Linked DNA regions of Daphnia pulex. The protein of the gene in region 1 interacts with the protein of each later gene in a pairwise test. Links are inferred from orthologs where the notes say so. Each region holds a gene or a part of one and is shown in the gene's direction. Other genes may lie near its edges.

Region 1 (6,290 bases):
ATTAAGCGCGAGTTGCCGGGTGCGGTTGCTGTGGCTGGATGCATTGCAATAAATAAATAAATAAATAAAAAACAAATCTATTTAATAACACACGCGTCAGACATCAATTCTTTCAACGCGCGAGGATGTATTCAATCAGCCGTCCATTGTGTCGGCCAATTCTATTCTCTTCTCTATGAAAATGATGGGCGCCCATCAGGCCAGGTCCCCCGGCTGGCGGAGGGGAGAAGAGACACTCGGATGGGACGAAGAAGTACCAATCAAGAGAGTAGGGAAATATATAAAAACGACAAGAGGGAAAGAAAGAAAGAAAGAAAGAAAGAAAGAAAAAGAAAACAACAATTATTAGAGACTGAAAGGGTCCAAATTTGTTGGCGAGAGTGAGGGTGGTGGCGCATCTTCGCGGGGGGTTCAGTGTTGTGTCTCCGCATCCGGCAGACGTCGGTCTCAATGGGAAGGCGGCGGACCTATCAAACCCCAGGTGGAGTTTCGATTTTCAATTCGTCACGCAATTCTGCGATATCTTGTTCCCAGCGTCGCTCGTAGAAGACGTTCATTAAGAAGCTGCTCCTCGAGCCCACGCCTATGGCCCACGGTAAGTACTTGCTCAGATAAGTCGACCGGTTCCTTGCACGAACATAATAATTGACAAAAGACGGGCAAAGAAAAACAAAAAAGAAGAAGAAGCTCATTAGTCCTGGGGAGGAGACAAAAGCGGCTCAGCGTGCTACACTCGACCGAACGAGAGACAACAACCGCACACGGGGGAGAGACGCAGAGAAAAGAAATTGAGAGGAGACCCAACGAAAAAAGGAAAACGAAAAAGAGGATGCTCTTATTACATCAGTTGACTCAATTCAAATTTATAAAAGGGCTTCCTATTGTTGTCACACAGCTGGATTTAATTAACTGGCTGGAAACGATCTGTCCACTTGTTAGTCTCTTTTGTTTGTTCTACCGTTTGCTGCCAATGTTGTCCTTTTTTCGTTGTTCTAGTGTGAAGGAAAAACGGAGGCAATGAATTGTCTATTTACTTTGGTTTCAAGCGAATAGGTCCAAACACAGCACCACCGATACACATGGGCAATTCCGTCTGAAGGGCTTCAACCCACTTGACTGCAACTTCGCCTATTAAAAAAAAGGAAATTTGCTTTTCAGGAGCATTTCCAAGGCAGCGCAATCTAAACTTGCCGGTCAATCGTGAATGCGACTATACCTAGCATGTTGGTGGGACATCCCAGCAAAGTGTGGACCAGGTCGTGGGTTTCGCGGTAGCGCTGCATCACGTAAGCCAAGTCGGCGTCGTCAACAAAGCGGACAGGCAATCTCGTATCCGGGCTGACGTTCTGTTGAATCAGCCCCATTTATCTAGTCAGATTTATGCTCACGAATTGCGAGACGGCTTTGTAACTTTGTGACTTACATTGACTTCGAGAAACTTGGTGTATTCTCTTCCTAAAGTTCCGTCTGGGTAAGATTTGAGCTTCTCAATGTCTATTGTGCTCGAGTTTATTCTAGGCCTCCCCCTGGTTGGCAATGATAATGAGAAATTAGAATCTTGATAACTAACTGTGGAAAGATTGCTTACATGAGAATTTGTCGGCCTTCTTCACTTTCCAGCATCTTTCTGTGCATCTTTTTGAGAGCAGAGTGGCCAGAACTTTCACCATTGACAGCGACCATGTCTAATTTCGGATCAACAAAAGGAAACTTATTTTCAGGCCTTTTGAGTTTTTTGAGCTCTCGTCACCTCCTCTTGCAGGATCTGTCAGCGCCACAATGCTAGAACCCACAGAAAGGACAGCTCTTTGAAGCAAATTTATGGGAATGTGCCCATCATACAAAGGTTCGCTTTTCTTTGTTGTTTCCGACTTCATCCATTTCACTTGGAAAATTCAATGTAGGGCAAACATCCAGTTAAATTATGTGCATAAGAGAGTTAAGGCAAATTTTAACTTACAAATGTAGGGAATTTGGGTCGTCGTTGTGTACTGTCGCTCGATGAAAGCATGAACAGCAACTCGATTATGACGAGTAATCAAACTCTTCAAAAACATTTTGTTCCTTAATAATCAGCAGCTGTGAATGTTCAATTTCTTCCTTCACCGAAAGTAGGTTCTCACGTAATCATCCATGAATAACAACACGGAAATAATTTAAAAAAAAAAGAAAACAAGTAAAACCACTTTTAACGAAACAACTTGACTTCGTCTGCTAAATAGCTTCAAAAATCGTTTTCGTCCGTGATCCATCTAGTGGTGAGTTGTTTTTCCGCCAGGGGCTTTTAGCCTTGGTTTTTTGGCGCCACATGCTAACTATCCACTCCAACGGTCGTTTGGTCGAATTGAAATAAAAGTTGCGCGGAATAAAGACAAGGGCGGTTTGTTTCTGCGATTGTCTCGTTTTATTCGAGACGTACTGTCTTAGTTTTCAAAAGTTTTGCCAACGTTTTTTTAAAGACTGATGTAATGCTATGCTGGTTTGAATTCTAGCCTACTGTCACACGCATTTGATTCATATGTTTTTATTTTTACTTCGTGGAAAAAGAGCAAGCAACGCAACCAGTGAGTCTAGCCGCGCGCAACTCGACAATCAATACTCTGTCGGGAGTCTCTTGAATTTGAACTGGACGTTCCTTAGTTCAGTCGTTCAGTTGGTCTCCTGAAGTCGAGGCTTTCCTAGACGCTCGTCTTGTTATTCGTTAGGTTTACCGACTTCTCAACACAGTGGGAAAAGTTATACACTAGTGTTTCTTAGTCAACATTTAGCTTCGCTGAGTCAAAACACAATCATCCTGACAAAATGACAGACATGGATAACAGCACATGCCTTGAATTGGCGTTAGAAGGAGAACGTCTTTGCAAAGCTGGTGATTGCAGGTAGAAACTTTCCATGTGCCAAGTTGTTTTGCCCTAGAGGAAATCAGCTTGTCGGTTGGAAAACTTATTGTGATTCATACGTAGTATCAAACACACTTGTCAGTAACTTTGTGTTTGCTTTCTCACAGAGCTGGTGTCGCCTTTTTCGAAGCAGCAATTCAAGCTGGTACCGATGACTTGAGGACCCTCAGCGCCATTTACTCACAACTTGGAAATGCATATTTTTACCTGGGTGAATACACCAAAGCCATGCAGTATCACAAACATGATCTTACTCTAGCCAGGTAATTGTTCACACACTATATTTGTTTGGTTCTAATTGTGGAAAAATTTAAATTTTATTTTCTAAACTGCCATATTTTACAGAACCATGGGTGACAGACTAGGTGAAGCCAAAGCCAGTGGAAATCTTGGAAACACATTGAAAGTAATGGGCAGATTCGATGAAGCTGTTCTCTGTTGCAAAAGACACCTCGACATTTCCAGGGAGCTTACCGATAAAGTACAGTTTTTTTTAGCTCCTAATATCGTTTTCGTCGCCTCTAATGTAAACATGGCTCCCACGCATTTCCAGGTTGGAGAAGGAAGGGCGTTGTATAACTTGGGGAACGTTTTTCATGCGAAAGGAAAACATCTCGGCCGGCTGGGTCAACAAGATCCAGGCGAGTTTCCCGAAGACGTGCGGAACTGCCTGCTAACAGCCGTAAATTATTACGAGTGAGTTTTTATTTTTTCCAAGAGGAAGTTGAGATTGGATTTTACTTACCCGTTCTGATTAACATTATCTTTTGGTTTTCGTCTTAATAGAGAAAATCTTGAACTCATGAGAGAAATAACCGATCGTGCTGCCCAAGGTCGGGCATGCGGGAACTTGGGCAATACCCATTATCTCTTGGGTAGCTTTACGCAAGCCATAAAATATCATCAAGAGGTGAGCGTTTTTGGCTATAAAAAATGTATATCTTATGATATCGTGTGTATGGGTTGTAAAAAAAACGAAGGTTTAATAGGGAAGGCTTAGGGAGATTAAAATCGATACAATCGGGACAAATTATTCGTGGTTTACGTGAGCGAAAAATCTTCTTTCATCGCCCACTTTCTTTTTTCAATTGTGCTTCTAGCGACTGAATATTGCTCGAGAATTTGGGGACAAAGCAGCCGAAAGGAGAGCCCACAGCAACCTGGGAAATGCGCACATCTTCCTCGGAGAGTTCGAAACGGCTGCAGAACATTACAAGTAAATACAGCGACTTCCTTTTTACTGATCGAAAGTTTCCGTAATTTGCGTATGAAAAGGACGGAATCGTCGAGCGTCTTTAAACTTTAAAGAAATCCCATTCAAATTCAATTTACCCCCCTCTCCCTCAGGAAAACACTCCTACTTGCACAGGATCTCGGAGATCGAGCCGTCGAAGCGCAAGCCTGTTACAGCCTGGGAAATACGTATACTCTGCTTCGCGATTATCCCACAGCCATCGATTACCATCTGCGGCACTTGCGTATTGCTGAAGAGCTAATGGATAAAGTTGGAGAAGGTTAGTCGGTGCTGAGAACTCGGTGCTCATTTTCTTTCGGGTTGTTTTTTGTTTGTTCTTTTAAATTTGGAAAATCTTTCTTCCCTGTGATCGCCATTAACATTGTTCCGGTTTGTTTCGTGACCGTCACCAATAGGACGTGCTTGCTGGAGCTTGGGGAATGCACACGCTGCCATGGGAAATCACGAGAAAGCCCTGCACTACGCACAACGGCACCTTGAAATATCCCGCGAGGTGAGCCAACACGAACCAATCAACCGACCTACTAATGGACTAATGGTTATGGCGTAAAATGACCGTTACCCTCTTTTCTCCATCTCTAAGATTGGCGATCCGACCGGCGAGGCGACAGCACAGATGAACTTGGCCGACTTGAGACGCACATTGGGCGTTGACGGCGACGGTGGTTGCGGCGGCATGGGAAACTCAACGAAAGGTCACGCTTCCGAGGCCGACGACGACGGACTCTACGGAGCAGATAGCAAGGCAAGGCGCAGGTTAAGCATGGAGCGCATGGATTTGCTCAAGGTTTGTTTGTGTTCGTCCGCTTTTGTCGCTTTGTTATTATTCTTGGCTTCTATTTTCTCGCATACCGCACCCTCGCGTTCAAACTTGGGAAGGTGGGAAATCTACCGGAGACCTTCCAAAACTTCTATTTTTTCTCTTGGCAAAATCTGCAGCATGGCGATTTTATTATTATTTTTATTACCGTCATCATTGTTTTCGTTGGTCCGTTTCAATTTCGGTTGCTTGCACTGTGATTAATCCAGCTGACGCCGGATGTGAAACAACTTCATAGCAAGGGACGCCGGGAACTGCATGAAATGGATCCTGTGTGGCCTAGACCGCTCGCTGGTCACCCGTTGGTTAGACGTGATATGCTGCCCCCGTTTGTAAGTTTCAACAATCCTCTCTTGATCCGGCTCTATCGGATGGCTCGTTCGTCTGTCTGCTTCTTTCGCTGCCAGTCTATCACAACTGTCACATCTCATAGTCTCGCTTGTTGTTTTTGTCTCTCTATTTCTGTCCGTTACTACCCTGTTGCTAACCGGAATCCATTTCGTTTTGCAATACGATAGGCCAACGGAGACGACGCCATGGATGAAGAGGAATCCTTTTTTAATTTGGTCACTCAATTCCAATCGAAACGCATGGACGATCAGCGTTGCTCGTTGGCAATCGTAGACAACAAGGAGAACCAACAAGCAAGTACACTCCCGTCGAATATTCACGGTGAGTTGTTTTTCCAGGGAAACCAGGGAGGGGGGATACGCGCTCCTGGCGTCGCCCCGAGTTTTGTTTCGTTTGCCTGCTTCTACGAGGGAGTGTGTTTTTATTTTCCTCTTTTTTCGCATATTGTTTCGATAGAGAGCCCGTCGAGATTGAAGGAAGATTTAATGGACCTGATCGCCGGCATGCAGAGTCGCCGGATGGATGAGCAGAGAGCTTCACTACCGCGACTACCCGGCCTGAACAACGCCAATCCAGACATTTTACGTCGGCTGTCTGTGGAGCCAGCCGGCGAGGATGCAGCCGCATTGCCCGATGAGAATTTCTTCGAAATGTTGATGCGGTGTCAGGTTAGATATTCTTCCACCTTTTTGGCCGAATTTGTACTCGTTTCTTTTTCACGAACGACTTTTTAAAATGATTTTTTACTTTTTATTTTTTTCATCGTGTAGGGTACGAGGCTGGAAGATCAGCGCAGCGCCTTGCCGGATACATCGCCTCGGCGGCACAGGGGGCCCACCATGCCCGACGAAGACTTTTTCTCGTTGATAATGCGACTCCAATCGGGTCGACTCGAGGATCAAAGAGCCGAAGATCCTTCACCTCTCATCGCTGCCAACGGAGCTGCCGCCACTTCCTCCTAGAC
Region 2 (6,253 bases), on another chromosome or scaffold:
TTCTTCAATGATTTCATAATCCAACATTGAATAAAAGCTTATTATAGAGAGGACGAGTCGTGTGTTGTAGCCATTATTATATACTTGCGCTGTTTGGGCAATACAGTTTCATAAAGGGACCTGATATTCTTATTCAGCAAAATTTTACTCAAACATAAAGGTGAATCACGACACTATATAAAAACATGGTCTATTTTTATTCAACCTACTCATAATATTAGTCTCTGTTATGTAATAGTTCTGAGCAAGGTCAGTAAACTATATTTGAAATCGGATCCAGCTCTGTTTTGACGGAAGACCCTCGGACCCTATTTGATAATTGGTTGATGTTGAAGAATGAAAAATTCGTCCTGTTGTAGACTTCCTGGAAATTTGAGTAGGAATTGATAATTCTTCTCAAACGCCGGGCTTCCGTGAATTTTTTTTTCTCGACCGTTTGGTTAACGTACATTACATTTAGCTGGAACGCACAGTCTTACGTCCTTTATGTGTTTCCATCAGTTTTTATGGGCGCGATATTTACGCTCCGTGAACAAAACTGCTGGATATAGCGATGCATACAAATATAGTACACAATGCATTCCGCAACTGCCTGTATACAAATTCCCCTTTTTTCTTGCTTGGTCAAACGGCATCAGCAAATGGATTGTTACCCACAGCTGGAATGTTTTCTATTTCAAAAAATAAGAAAGAAAAGAAATGTATTCACAGCATATATATATAGAAGCTATAAATTCTTATTTAAGTGGACTTGAAAAAAAAAAATTTAAGCTCCCATAACTTTTATCCGCGAATGGTCGTTTCAAATTTTATCCTTTCGTCGCAGTCTTTTTCTATCTCTTTCTCTGGCGTCCTACATTTTCACCCGTTTTCTTGAAAACAAATATAATATAAAAAAAAGAGAGGATCCTTTGCAAAATAACCGGAACGTGTTATTACGATGCTATATAAGACAGCATTGAAAGAAACCAGAAATATGCCCAGCTAGACAATATAACAAAAAAAACATATAGCTATGCAGTAGTATAGTAACCTAATTTATTGTTTGGCGTTCCAAATTCGATATTGGACGAGATTGGCAGTTTATGCTGGAAATGATTCGCATACACTTCACATATACTGCCACAAAAATGTGTGGCATTCGTTATCGGATGGTTGTCAAGCCGTCTTGAACATTTCAATGTGTCATTCCTTTTTTAATCTAGACTTTTTATTAATATTTTCAAGTTTTTTTTAAACATTACTTTTTTTTAAATATTATTAGGTTTTTGTTTTAATATTGGGAGAATTTCTTAAAAATTGATGACGATTAAAAAGGAATAGAGGACGAAGGGCTTCATTAAAAAGTTAAAAACCAATATGCGGAAGTGTGGTGGTGACTAACCTAAAAGACTTTGCACCCACACACCAGTCACATAAAAGAAATAATGGATGGGAAAAACCAACCAGCTGATGGCAACGGGCGCTATACTGCTGCCGCTGGATGAGAATTTCCTCAATTTCGAATGTACATACGAACGACTGACATATCCCAAGGGGGGAAACGCGACGACGCGGATCTCAGATTTCGAAAAAAGGATATTTTTCCGATTATCACTAGCCGCTATAGTATATAAAAGCGCCCTCTCTCTCCTTATATTCCTTTGACGTCATCATAGTGTTAAACAAGTACCAAAAGAAGCAACTGCGACGGGATCATCGCATGCTACATGCTGGTGGGATGGCTTTAATCGTTTTCTTCTTTTTTCCTTTTAACCATTTGCAACAAAATGTTAAATCGTAGCGGGTGGTCTAGCAGCCTCACTTCGATATGAATCACGTCTCACACAAGTTGTCGGCGCGTCTGTTTGTTTACAAGAGAGACAGCTCGAAGAGCGCGCATCTGTTTTAAAAAAAAAAAGAAAAAAGACCCAGAAACATGAATATATTCATGCTGCTGAGGAAATGGAGAAAAAGAAATCAGGGCGCGGCCTCGTCGTGTAAAGTTCCAAGAGATATACAAACGAAACGAGGGTTCCGGTTTCCTCATTGAACACACCAAAACCCAACGAAAAACAGGCAGAACACTGAACCGGGTAAAAAAAAGCGCATACCCATAAAAGACCGTGTGCCTGTGATGAAGTATTTCCGGTCGATTTGTGTGCTGTAGAAGCTCCTTTCGTCCCTTTTTCATATATACCCCCCCAGTTGTGAGTACAGCTCATCACCGACACAATGGAGGCTGGCCGTGTCAGGCCAACCGTTGTAGGAAACCGGTTTTTAATGTCCTGTAATTATATGCCAAATAAACAGGAGCGAATTTACAGTCTCAAGACGTTGATTTCATTTTTTTTTTTCTAAATTTATTTTCTGGACGAATACCATTTGTCAAAGCAACGCAGCAGGGAAGCGGCCAAGATCAGGGAATAATCAATCAGCAGTGGGAGCAGTGGGGGAAAATCAAAAATGGAAACGACGCGCTGAACCCCAAGAGTGTGGCGAATTCGTAACGGTTATCGGGCAACCGTCTATTCACACGACCGTGGCGTCATAATAGTGAATAAGAGACTCTATTCAGTCTACTATGCTGTAATGCTCTCTCTCTCTGCTGTGATTTGGGGTCGAGCAAAAAAAATAAAATAAGAAGAGGAGAGGCGGGTTTTGAGTGTTGAAGCTGCGTTGCCAAAAGCGGCAAATAAATATGGCAACGGACGGCAACGTTCGAGTTTTGCCCCGCCTTTGACTGCAGTGCAGCGTAAGTTGAGTTTTTTTACTGTTGGAAAAGAATCAAAAATGTCAAAACTTGCGTTTTGAAACTTGAAATCTTTTCCTTTTGACAAAAGAGACATCGAATATCAAATCGTTGTTCCGATCGCTCTTGTCTCACTTTTCGAATTACCATCGATTTTAGATTCACTCGAGTTCGTGACTTGGATTGAACTGTTGACACGACTCGGTGGCCGTTTGAAAGTTTTAACCAAGCTCCGTTACAATCAGACACCTCTCAAAGTTTAACCGACAATTTTTGGTTTTCTTTTGGATTTGTTTCCATTTTAGTTCACCTTTACAAACAATTAGTGTTAGTGACAGTTATTCCTTTTTGTGGTTTATACAGCATTTTAAAAATCATTTTGCTAGGCTTGGGTTTGATTAACAATTTCCACATTTTGTATTTGCAGGTTCGCTCAAAACAGTTTTCACCATGGGCTGTGCGGTTAGCTCAACAACCGACAAAGAAGCGGTTGAGCGATCCAAGAAGATTGACAAAGATTTAAGGGCTGATGGGGAACGTGCTGCACGAGAAGTCAAACTCCTGTTGCTTGGTGAGTACTTGATTGATTTCTCGCTCATAGTTTTTGTGGCATTCATTAATAATGCTGATTCTGTTCACAGGTGCTGGTGAATCAGGCAAAAGTACAATTGTCAAACAGATGAAAATCATCCATGAAACTGGATATTCCAAAGAAGAATGTGAACAGTATCGACCTGTAGTATACAGCAACACAATACAAAGTCTGATGGCCATCATTCGTGCCATGGGCCAACTCAGAATCAACTTTGCAGACTCCAGTAGAGCCGTGGTGAGTTATCACCTTCAATTTGAATACAGCCCTCAGGCGTTAACTGGTGCTTTTCTAATAGGATGATGCCAGGCTATTTTTCACACTAGCAAGCGCTGCTGATGAAGGAATGCTTACATATGACTTGGCTCAGGTAAGACGATCCATCTTTCCTTGTAAATTGAAAAATCCTAACTTTAATATTCTGTTCGTTAGGTAATGAAACGATTGTGGATGGACGGAGGGGTGCAGCATTGTTTCTCTCGCTCCCGGGAATACCAGTTGAACGATTCAGCTGCCTATTATCTCAACGCCTTAGACCGTATCTCAGCACCCAACTACGTACCTACGCAGCAAGATGTCCTGAGAACAAGAGTGAAAACCACAGGAATCATCGAAACGCATTTTTCATTCAAAGGACTTCGTTTCAAGTACAATCATTCACTTGTTTTCCATCATTCGAAAATCATAGAAACTCATCGAATTCATTTGAATCTACAGGATGTTTGACGTCGGCGGACAGCGATCAGAACGTAAAAAGTGGATTCACTGTTTTGAAGGAGTGACAGCCATCATCTTTTGCGTGGCGTTATCAGGTACGAAAAGATTCAGGCTTAATTTCCCCTTTTCTGTGAGCTTTATTGTTGATACTTTGCTCCAGGTTACGATCTGGTGTTAGCCGAAGATGAAGAGATGAATCGCATGATCGAGTCAATGAAGCTGTTTGACTCGATATGCAACAACAAGTGGTTTGTGGAGACCTCAATCATCCTGTTCCTCAACAAGAAGGATCTCTTTGAGGAGAAAATTACCAAATCATCTCTCACCATCTGCTTTCCCGAATACCCAGGTAAGTTTAATTGACTTAAGTCCTTTTTAATTTTCTTCAGAAACTAATTTGTGTGACGTTTGCGTTCAAGGATCCAACACTTACGAGGAGGGAGCGGCCTACATTCAAATGAAGTTTGAGAGTCTAAACAAGCGTCGTGACCAGAAAGAGATTTACACGCACTTTACGTGCGCCACCGACACCAGCAACATCCAATTTGTCTTTGATGCGGTCACGGATGTTGTGATTAAGAACAATTTGAAAGACTGCGGTCTTTTCTAATTCGATTCTGGGATGCCAGTGCACACCATCCCATCCCAGCTCTCTCTCTTAATCTTAAACTCTCCCCTCTTATTTTTCTCTCTCTTTATTATTGATTTTGTCTTGGATACCACAAACTTAGTCTGAAAATATCATTTTGTAAACTGTACGTTCATCGTCGGCCCGTAAAAGAAAGAAAAAGAAAGAAAGAAACGCAACACAAATTCGCTGTAAGCATCCCTCTCGTTGCGCTGGCCATCACGCACATAATTGCTTCCTCCCTTTATTCGATCGACTCGAAATTTAATCTGTTGATATTTCTTTTGTTTTGCTCGAGCAATGATATTGACACTAATATCCCTTTTGAAGAAAAAGAAAGAAAACAAAAAACGAAGCTCAACCACTCTTTGATTGCCATATTAAAACAAAAAGAGCACAAAACATTTCGAATTCTCTTACATTTTTTTCATACAAATTCTCCTGCCGTTCGGACGCGTTGAATAACCAAAATCCTCCCCATCGCACAGCCATCCTCCCTCCTCCCCCCCCCCCGTTTAACGTTAAATTGTTTGATCGTAACGCCATCAGAGAAAACAAAAGACTCTTTGCGTGACACGCCATCCTTCCTCTTTTATCTGCTTTTCCATGCAGACCATCTATTTTTTTTACTTGTTAATCTATGGCTTAACATTCCTTCACATGCCTGGGCCCTTAACATTTTTTTTTTCTTTTTTTCATTCTGTCCAGGTCTTTCCAGCTCTATTTTTGCCAACGACAGTCCTTCAAACAATTTCCGCTTCACATGCTCAACTACTTTTTGACTCGTTTTTTTTTTTTTCATTATTATTATTCCTATCCAAGATATTTGATACTCGGTCGTTGATTGATCGGTGGATAATTATTTTAGAAAATTGCTTTTTTGTCTAGATAATGATCGTCCTCTCACTTAACCAGCCTGGCATGTCTTCCAATTTGGCCCCTGATGCATCGCTCGAACGATGTTCCTGATAATTCTTTATATATTCGAAATACAAAAAAACAAACCCTGTTTTTTTTCTTTCTTACTCTTTTCTTTTTAACTCCGAACGATTTCTTTTGGCTTTTGTTTTTTTCCTTTGTGTGTCTGTGTGTATTTTCATCCACCCCCCCAAAAAAAATATTTGACTCCTCCCCCTTTTATTACGATTTTTTTTCTCCAATTTTTTTAAGTGTATGCAAAATGGGACGACGAAGTTATGACGGCCTCTTCCTTTTTTTTTACGATTTCTATCGTCTTCCCCGATATATTGTGTATATGGTATCAATACAACTTGCATGCAAGCTGCCTCGAGCCTCTCGCAAACCATTTTTTTTTCTTATTCCGCATGAGAAAATTGAATAGCTTTTCAATAAGGCATCGAATGAAATTCCATTACTTATTTAGTACCCCAAAAGAGAGGGGGGTCCTCTGAGTTCCTCTACGGAAAGTTGCGAGTCTGGAAAAAGAAAAGAAAATGTTTTCGTCATGTTGAACACATCGCACAAGTTTGCAATAACAAGTTCCCCCCTCCAGCTTTCAGCGGATCGTCTTTTCTCGTTTTCTTTTGAAAAGGTATTTACGTATACATTTTATCCCGCCTCCCCA

Evidence for each region.
Region 2: the proteins of G-protein-signaling modulator 2-like (region 1) and guanine nucleotide-binding protein G(i) subunit alpha interact in a two-hybrid assay, tested with the Drosophila melanogaster proteins (2 studies listed by BioGRID). The link is inferred for Daphnia pulex from reciprocal best matches to the Drosophila melanogaster genes pins and Galphai.

What each region holds. Positions count from the first base shown.
Region 1 is NC_060018.1:4,010,665-4,016,954, forward strand, and holds the start of G-protein-signaling modulator 2-like, read left to right. Parts: upstream 1-2,353; 5' UTR 2,354-2,465; exon of another isoform or gene 2,466-2,547; 5' UTR 2,548-2,802; coding exon 2,803-2,879; intron 2,880-3,007; coding exon 3,008-3,163; intron 3,164-3,245; coding exon 3,246-3,381; intron 3,382-3,453; coding exon 3,454-3,596; intron 3,597-3,686; coding exon 3,687-3,810; intron 3,811-4,000; coding exon 4,001-4,116; intron 4,117-4,247; coding exon 4,248-4,414; intron 4,415-4,550; coding exon 4,551-4,648; intron 4,649-4,738; coding exon 4,739-4,942; intron 4,943-5,184; coding exon 5,185-5,307; intron 5,308-5,493; coding exon 5,494-5,647; coding exon of another isoform or gene 5,648-5,782; coding exon 5,783-5,994; intron 5,995-6,096; coding exon 6,097-6,288; 3' UTR 6,289-6,290. Other genes in the region: ubiquinone biosynthesis protein COQ4 homolog, mitochondrial-like, read right to left, coding at 471-627, 1,035-1,128, 1,217-1,346, 1,424-1,526, 1,589-1,685, 1,751-1,885, 1,961-2,057.
Region 2 is NC_060020.1:3,521,784-3,528,036, reverse strand, and holds guanine nucleotide-binding protein G(i) subunit alpha, read left to right. Parts: upstream 1-2,611; 5' UTR 2,612-2,734; exon of another isoform or gene 2,735-3,058; intron 3,059-3,158; 5' UTR 3,159-3,181; coding exon 3,182-3,302; intron 3,303-3,372; coding exon 3,373-3,560; intron 3,561-3,621; coding exon 3,622-3,693; intron 3,694-3,755; coding exon 3,756-3,970; intron 3,971-4,040; coding exon 4,041-4,135; intron 4,136-4,200; coding exon 4,201-4,389; intron 4,390-4,459; coding exon 4,460-4,650; 3' UTR 4,651-5,953; downstream 5,954-6,253. UniProt on the Drosophila melanogaster protein: Guanine nucleotide-binding proteins (G proteins) are involved as modulators or transducers in various transmembrane signaling systems.